Linked DNA regions of Nothobranchius furzeri. The protein of the gene in region 2 purifies or fractionates together with the protein of the main gene of each other region. This does not show direct contact. Links are inferred from orthologs where the notes say so. Each region holds a gene or a part of one and is shown on either strand. Other genes may lie near its edges.

The links. Proteins that work in one complex are often made in the same cells at the same time.
Region 1: the proteins of snrnp70 (region 2) and snrpa purify together in Homo sapiens (affinity purification with mass spectrometry; 4 studies listed by BioGRID and IntAct, counting the BioPlex papers as one, with this or other methods). This does not show direct contact. The link is inferred for Nothobranchius furzeri from reciprocal best matches to the Homo sapiens genes SNRNP70 and SNRPA.

The regions. Positions count from the first base shown.
Region 1 is NC_091753.1:42,104,574-42,108,532, reverse strand, and holds snrpa (U1 small nuclear ribonucleoprotein A), read left to right. Parts: upstream 1-1,187; 5' UTR 1,188-1,314; intron 1,315-1,624; 5' UTR 1,625-1,632; coding exon 1,633-1,708; intron 1,709-1,819; coding exon 1,820-1,992; intron 1,993-2,080; coding exon 2,081-2,239; intron 2,240-2,378; coding exon 2,379-2,543; intron 2,544-2,619; coding exon 2,620-2,708; intron 2,709-2,864; coding exon 2,865-3,024; 3' UTR 3,025-3,325; downstream 3,326-3,959. UniProt on the Homo sapiens protein: Component of the spliceosomal U1 snRNP, which is essential for recognition of the pre-mRNA 5' splice-site and the subsequent assembly of the spliceosome. U1 snRNP is the first snRNP to interact with pre-mRNA.
Region 2 is NC_091758.1:13,877,870-13,881,517, forward strand, and holds part of snrnp70 (U1 small nuclear ribonucleoprotein 70 kDa), read left to right. Parts: intron 1-1,520; coding exon 1,521-1,622; intron 1,623-3,648. UniProt on the Homo sapiens protein: Component of the spliceosomal U1 snRNP, which is essential for recognition of the pre-mRNA 5' splice-site and the subsequent assembly of the spliceosome. SNRNP70 binds to the loop I region of U1-snRNA.

The sequences.
Region 1 (3,959 bases), on a different chromosome or scaffold from region 2:
AAAAAGTGACAGACGTGTGAAGTCAAGATGAAACAGTGATGTTAAATCACTGTGATGTTGCAAATTATCTGCATTGTTCATGAAGTTTACAAAAAAAAAAAGTCCACAGGCACTACATTCATTTGGGATTTGTTCCTTAATGCGTTCAAAGATTAGTCCCTGAATAAAACTGTTGGGTTTTCACCAGTATGTATTGGTTAACTACCTATTCTTCCCTGCTTCATTACTCATTACTCCCTAAGTCGTTCCCTAGTTACGAAGCATAATTTTACGTACCTTATTGTAAAGTTACTGTTATTCTTCTTAGGTTGTCTACTCTGCCTTTTTTTGACGTCATGTTTTTCCAGTATTTCTGATTTACTGTTCAATTCAATTCAAAAATACTTTATTAATCCCAGGGGGAAACTGATTGCTGTAGTATCTCAGAATAATAATAATAATCAAGTCATCAAAGAGTTATTGTATATTACAATGGCTGTTGGCAGGAAGGATCTCCAGTAGTGTTGCAGCGAAACTGAAGAAGCCTCTGACTGAAGACACTCTTCCGTTGTCGGACAGTCTTGTGAAGAGAATGCTCACGGTTGTCCATAATTTTCTTGATTCTCTGGAGAATCCTTCTTTGCATTATCTCCTCCAGTGGTTCAGAAAGTGCCGAAACTCTGACTGAGTCCTTGAAAGGGCTTGGAGTTCCTCCATCTTGTTGGCCAGTGATCTCACATTGCCCATTATGATCGATGGGAGAGATGGTTTGAATTTCCTCTTTCTCTGTCTCCGTTTTGCTCCCGCTCTGCACCCACGCTTCTTGCGTTTTAGTTAATTTGGGATTTGTCGCGTCAGTTGAGGTATTATTTCAGCCTTTTCAATGTTAAACAGCTGCTCCCGATTGTAAACCAGCTTGTTGCCATGGTTACGCATCATAACAAATGCTCAAAAAGTGAAAAAACCTAAACAATAGCAGCAAAAGTCCTCCAAGCTTCACAGCACCAGAAACAGAAAAGTAAAGTGTCCAAAAAAATACCGTTTTTCTTGAGAAACTAGAAGAAAAAATGTCCAAGAAAAGGCTAAACTTACATATAGTTAACAGAGCTACTCCAACATGCAGCCACCCAGAGCAGCGTAAATAAGAAGAAAAACCATTTTAGTTTTAGCCATTGTAAGTTAAATGGTGTTTTGAGTTTCGCTATTTTGATTTACACCGTGTGGTGGCGGTAATTCACCAGAACGGTTTGGTAACCAACAAATAAGACAAAGAAGAAGAATTTCTTCCTCTTGTTTTCTGGGGAAAAAAGTCTCGGAGCTTTCATTCAATTTCAGGTTGGTACTACGTCAACATCTAACGCGTTTTACATGGTTAAGTGCATTTTAACTGTTGATTTAAAATATTTTTGACAAGCTTAAACGATTTGAGGTAACGTTGGAACTAGTAGAAGTATTTAGGCAGATTAATGACGCTAAATGCTGTTAGTTAGCTTTTAGCTAACACGCTGTTGTTGCCTTCCGCCATGTTTGTTACCATTGCGTTTAGATGCTGGATTTTTGAATGAAATTGGACTTGAAACTGCGTGAAAATAAGCACATGTTTGAGTCTTTATTTTATTTTTAGCTATTTTATTTATTCTCCTAGCCTTAAACATGACCACTCCAGCAGAGGTGCGCCCCAATCACACGATCTACATCAACAACCTAAACGAGAAGATAAAGAAAGATGGTGAGTTTCGCATCATTTTCTTTCCTTTTCTTTGTTTATTTCACGCACAATTAATGCAAAGTCTCCTTTATTATTGTTATTGATTATTTGTTGTTTGTGTGTCTCCCTCAGAGCTGAAGAAGTCCCTTTATGCCATCTTCTCTCAGTTTGGGCAAATTTTGGACATTTTGGTCGCACGAAACCTGAAGATGAAGGGTCAGGCGTTCGTTATCTTTAAAGAGATTAACAGCGCTTCTAATGCATTAAGGTCCATGCAGGGTTTTCCTTTCTATGATAAACCTATGGTACGTCTATTAAACATGTTTAATAATGCACAATTTAGACATTTCTGATGGAAGTACACGTGTGACTCAAATATATACTTTCTTGCAGCGAATCCAGTACTCTAAAATGGATTCGGATATTATAGCTAAGATGAAGGGGACTTTTGTGGAGCGTGACCGTAAAAAAGAAAAGAAGAAGCCCAAACCTGAATCTACAGGAAGTAAAAAAAATGCTGCAGCGATTGCTGGGGTACCTTCTGCAATCCCAGTGAGTGCACTAGGTGTTTTTTACAATCATGGTTAAACAATCTAGATATTTGTTAGTGAAGTAACGGCAGGTTTTAGATGCATTAAGAGTTAAAAGCTCAATTAACATGAATAGAAACTAAACGTTTGTCATTCTTTAGGGAATGCCACCAATGAACCAGGCTCCTCGCATGATGCACATTCCAGGCCAGCCACCTTACATGCCCCCTCCTGGAATGATGCCTCCTCCTGGGATGGCTCCAGGCCAGATTCCTCCTGGTGGGATTGCTCCTGGTCAGATGATGCCAGGACAGATGCCTCAGCAGGTAGCTTGTGTTCTTTTTCCTCACAGAACGTTTTGTTTCCTGTCCTGGTAGTTTAATCCTTACTCTCTTCCCACAGGTTTCAGAAAATCCACCCAACCACATTCTCTTTCTCACCAACCTGCCAGAGGAGACGAACGAACTCATGCTGTCCATGCTCTTCAACCAGTCAGTACTCATTTTCTAGTCATACATTTAAACAGATGCGTAAAAATGGATCAACTTTGACTGTTTTGTGATGCTAACATTGCAAATAATCTGAGAATTTAATTCTCTCAAACTGTTTTTTCTGTAATTGTAACTGAGCTGCTCTGTGCGTTAAAGGTTTCCCGGCTTCAAAGAGGTGCGTCTTGTTCCTGGTCGTCACGACATCGCCTTTGTGGAGTTTGAAAACGAGGTGCAGGCTGGCGCGGCACGAGATGCTCTGCAGGGCTTTAAGATCACTCAGACGAACGCCATGAAGATTTCTTTTGCCAAGAAATAACGCATCTTCCACCAGGTCCTGATTTAATTTGCATACATGTCCGTACATGTAAGTATCTGAGTCAAGTTGCTGTTAAGAAAGTTGGAGTGAAAAACTGGGAGCTCTAACTTTGTGCAATGGTTTGGCTTTAATCTGTAATGCTTGCGCAACTTGGTGTCCACTTCTCTGTTTTTCTGTTTCATAGTTTAAATTTTTTATTATAAACTGTTAAAGCATTGCACCCAGTGTCTGGTCCACCAGACATTGTACCTGGAGCTATTCTTTTTTTTTTATCTTGATTAAAATTTGAATTGGTAAAACACTAGACTGTTCTTTCTTTCGCTGTGTGTGTGTGTGTGTGTGTGTGTGTGTGTGTGTGTGTGTGTGTGTGTGTGTGTGTGTGTGTGTGTGTGTGTGTGTGTGTGTGTGTGTGTGTGTGTGTGTGTGTGTGTGTGTGTGTGTGTGTGTGTGTGTGTGTGTGTGTGTGTGTGTGTGTGTGTGAACAGGTTTGAGCATAAAGGATAACTCAACATTTCCTGTCTGAAATGTCAAAGAAAGGAATTGAGTTTAGAGTTGCATTTGCTTAATCAAGCCAAGCCAACTTTGTTTATAAAGCACTTTAAAAACAGCCCTCGCTGACCAAAGTGCTGAACATAAAAACATAAAAGCATAAAATAGAATACAGTGTAAGGTTAAAAGCACACTAAAATAAAACACAAATCAAATAGAAATCCAAAACGTGTTGAAAGCCAAGCTAAAAAGGTGGGTCTTTAAAGATGATTTAAAAGTTTCCAGTGAGGAGGCCTTTCTAAGATGTGCCGGCAAAGAGTTCTGGGAGCAGCATCAGCGAAGGCCCTATCCCCTCAGCTTACGCTGTGTCCTTGGAACGTCCAGGAGCAACTGGTCAGATGACCTGAGCGACCGAGAGGAGGAGTGAATGTGCAATAGCTCAGAGA
Region 2 (3,648 bases):
TCGTATCAAAGCTGTCATCGGCAACCCTGTGGTTGTGGTGCAGGTAGTCCAGGACAACACGTTTTAGTTTAAATCACCAGTAAGGGATATGTGGATGCAGTGGGACAACACCAGTCTGGAGCTGGCTTTAATGGAAGAGGCAGATGAGGGAAACTCTTTGATAACTCAACTAAATGGACTGTTCATGCATTACATTCCCAGGCAGACACACACCACTACAGCTTCACTGATGAGCTCACGAGTCCCTGTAGCCACAGCCCACCAGTAAACACACTCCTGACTCGGTCAGAGAGAGGTCTCCACTCACCTTAGACCTGTGGTAGGAACATGACTTCACTTGGTTGGGATTACTCCAACAGGTCGCCCAGTTTTGTGCTTGTTTTTTTTTTTTTTTTTTTTTTAACTACCTTGTGTTTGTTTATTGTTTTGTTTCCTCAGTTGGTCCATTTTTGTGGGACTATTGGGGGTTTGGTAAGGCCCTATCATTGGGTGGGTAACTTGTTGTCATCTCTGGTGAACCAGGAAGTGGAGGGGTGGTGGTAAGGCCCCTGATGGAGAGGTTGTGATGCTGCTCTGGTGCAGAGGAATTTTGGTAAGGCTCTACCGGTGGCTCAGATGTTCATGAGGCCATTGGCAGCAAGCTCATGGAATGAGTGTCTAGTGCGCCACACGGTGATGGGTCCGTTCCGGGCTTCCTGGAATCACTCTAGATTTAAACTCTCCAAAACTAAAAGTAATTCTGATTTTAGACAGCCAGCTTTGGTCCGTGTGGCCTTGAATTCATCAGCTGGCTAGACTGGATGATGAGATGTGGTATTGGCTGTACAGTGATCCCTCGTTTATCGCGGTAGATGCGTTCCAGACCTGGATGTGATAGGTGAAAATCCGCGAAGTAGGGACACCATATTTACAGTATTTATTTAACAGGTTCGTATTCAGTATTCAGACTTTTAAAACCCTCCATTTACATAGTACTGTATTTTTACTTGTTTTTTTTTTATAGTTTTATTACAAAAAGTGCATTTTATGATAAAATCGATGAAAAAAAACAGGAATTTCTTGATATTTCGCATAGAAAAATACCGCGAATCGGCGAATTTCCCTTCAATAAGGCTCCAAAGAAAAAATCCGCGGTCGTGAATCCATGATAAAACGAACTGCGAAGTAGCGAGGGATCACTGCATACACACACACACACCACACACACACACACACACCACACACACACAGATGTGATGTTGCTGGCTACGTTAGAACCGTGGGATCTAAATGAGCCGGGCCTCAGGGCTTAATGACGGTCAGAGTGTAACGTATCAGTCACTCATCGGGTGGAAGGAGGTCCTCTTCCGTAATCCTTCGGCTTTTACCCAGGGAGCAGCCATCTCGGCTTCACCTGCTCCTGGTCAGTATATTAAAGCACCGTTTCCTGTTTTCATTTCTATTTTTTTCTCCCTTGCCCAAACTGGTGCTGTTGGAACTCCCATCTTAACTCCGCCTTCCCTCTTTCCCCTCTCTTGCAGCCGCCTACAAGCACGCGGACGGAAAGAAGATTGATGGCAGACGGGTGTTGGTGGACGTGGAACGGGGACGTACTGTCAAAGGATGGCGTCCTCGCAGGCTGGGTCAGTTTGTCCCTTTTAAATGTAGACGTGTCCTCTGTTGCACAGAGAGCCAGGTTAGGGTTAGTGTCCATCTTTTCTGAAGCAACACAAAAAATAAAATTTAGACAACAAAACAAGATAAAAATCACGAGGCACTTCACCAAAACAAAAATTTCAAACTGCAAAAAATATTAATTAAAATGAGCAAAAAATAGACAATTGTGATTAAAAATGTACAGAAAGAGAGAGAGTGAACAGGAAAGAGGGAAATCAGTGGATCCTGAGGAAGGTGGAATAGGTGGGGAGAGCAGAACAAGGAGAGGGTGATGAAGGTCACACTAAAGCCTGAACAGGTGAGTTTAAAGGAGACCACTGAGTCCACTGATCTCAGGCTCAGCGGGAGAGTTCCAGAGTCTGGGGGCCACAGCAGCAGATGATCTGTCACCTTTGGTCTTTAGCCTGGTGCTGCACAACCAGTAGGCTTTGATCACTGGACCTCAGGGACCTGCTGGGGGTGTAGGGACTAAGAAGATCACCAATGTATGATGGTGCTTGTCCATGTAAGGCCCTATAGACCAGAACCAGGATCTTGAAATGAACCCTGAAGTTGACTGGCAGCCAGTGAAGCTGGAGGAGAAGCGGGGTGATGTGGGTGTGTTTGGAGGACTTGGTCAGAAGCCGAGCACAGGCATTCTGGACCACCTGTAGACGGTTCAGGGAGGTTCTGCTCAGACACGTGAAAAGAGAGTTACAGTAGTCTAAGCGTGAGGAGATGAAGGTGTGGAGAACTGTCTCAAGTTCAGAGCGAGACAGAATGGGACTCAGCTTAGCAACGTTCCTGAGATGGAAGAAGGAAGAGCGAACAAGAGAACTAACATGAGAATCCAGGGTGAGAGCTGGGTCAAAGGTCACACCAAGATTCCTGACAGAGGGTTTGGTGTGAGAAGCAAGCTGACCAAGAGAGTCTCTGACTTTGGGGACCAGCTTGTCTGGGGCACAGATGAGGATCTCAGTCTTATCTTCATTCAGCTGAAGAAAGCTCCCACCATCCAGGTTATGATACTAAGCAGGTGTGTAACAGCTGCAGCTTTGACATCTCATGGGGCTCAACCCTTTAAGCGCCACAGTCACAATACTGCGAAAAGCGTTGTTGCTGACTTTAACAAGCCACAGCTACCATCCCTCATGAAGTCACTACTTTACACCAGAAGATAGTGGAGATGTGTAACTTCAGGCTGAACAACACTTATGGGTGCGTTTATATTAACAGTTTCTGAGTTTTTAGGGTTTGAAAACTGCGAGAGGTTCCCAGTCGAGGAGAGGACGGGTGGAGACGAGCGCAGCACGGAGAGGGCGAATATTAGAGGGATAAAACTTAAATTGCAGGCAGGTCTGGTCATGACTGACTCCGATTATAAAGCAGAATATTGTCTCTGATGAAGAAATTCACTCATCCAGCCGGAAAGATGACGCTACTGCAGCAACAGACAGCTGGTGCTGCACGAGAGTATGGTGTATGGAGCTTACAAGCTCCAAGCGTTAGGTTTGACGTTTGTTTCACCGTGTTTGGAACATGGTGGATGTAGAAATGATGGTAAAACACCGCTAATGTGACAGATGTCGCTGCAATGGGGAAAAAAAGCAGCAGATGTGTTACATATGGAAGTCAAACTGTGCCACATAACTATAAAAAATGTTCCTTCCCTTGGGTCAAATGATCATTACACTCATCCCTGGAGCTGTACAAGCCCAAAGAAACCTGACAAATATGGCTGAAAAGCATTCCTCTTGAGTGAGGCCAATGTAAATGTCAGATAATACAATATAAAAGCTAAACTATCTAATTGAAACTTCAAAGGAGCTTTATATATGGATATATAAATAAAAAAATTTAAATGTGATAAATTCAAAAATGATGCATTTCCATTACGGCAGCCTGGTGAGGTCAAAATATGACTGTTTCGGTTCTACTGAAGATTTTTCTCAGTTAATTTTGTCTCTAACCGTTTCCAAGCTACAACCTTTTCAAATAGTTGTGTTAAAATTA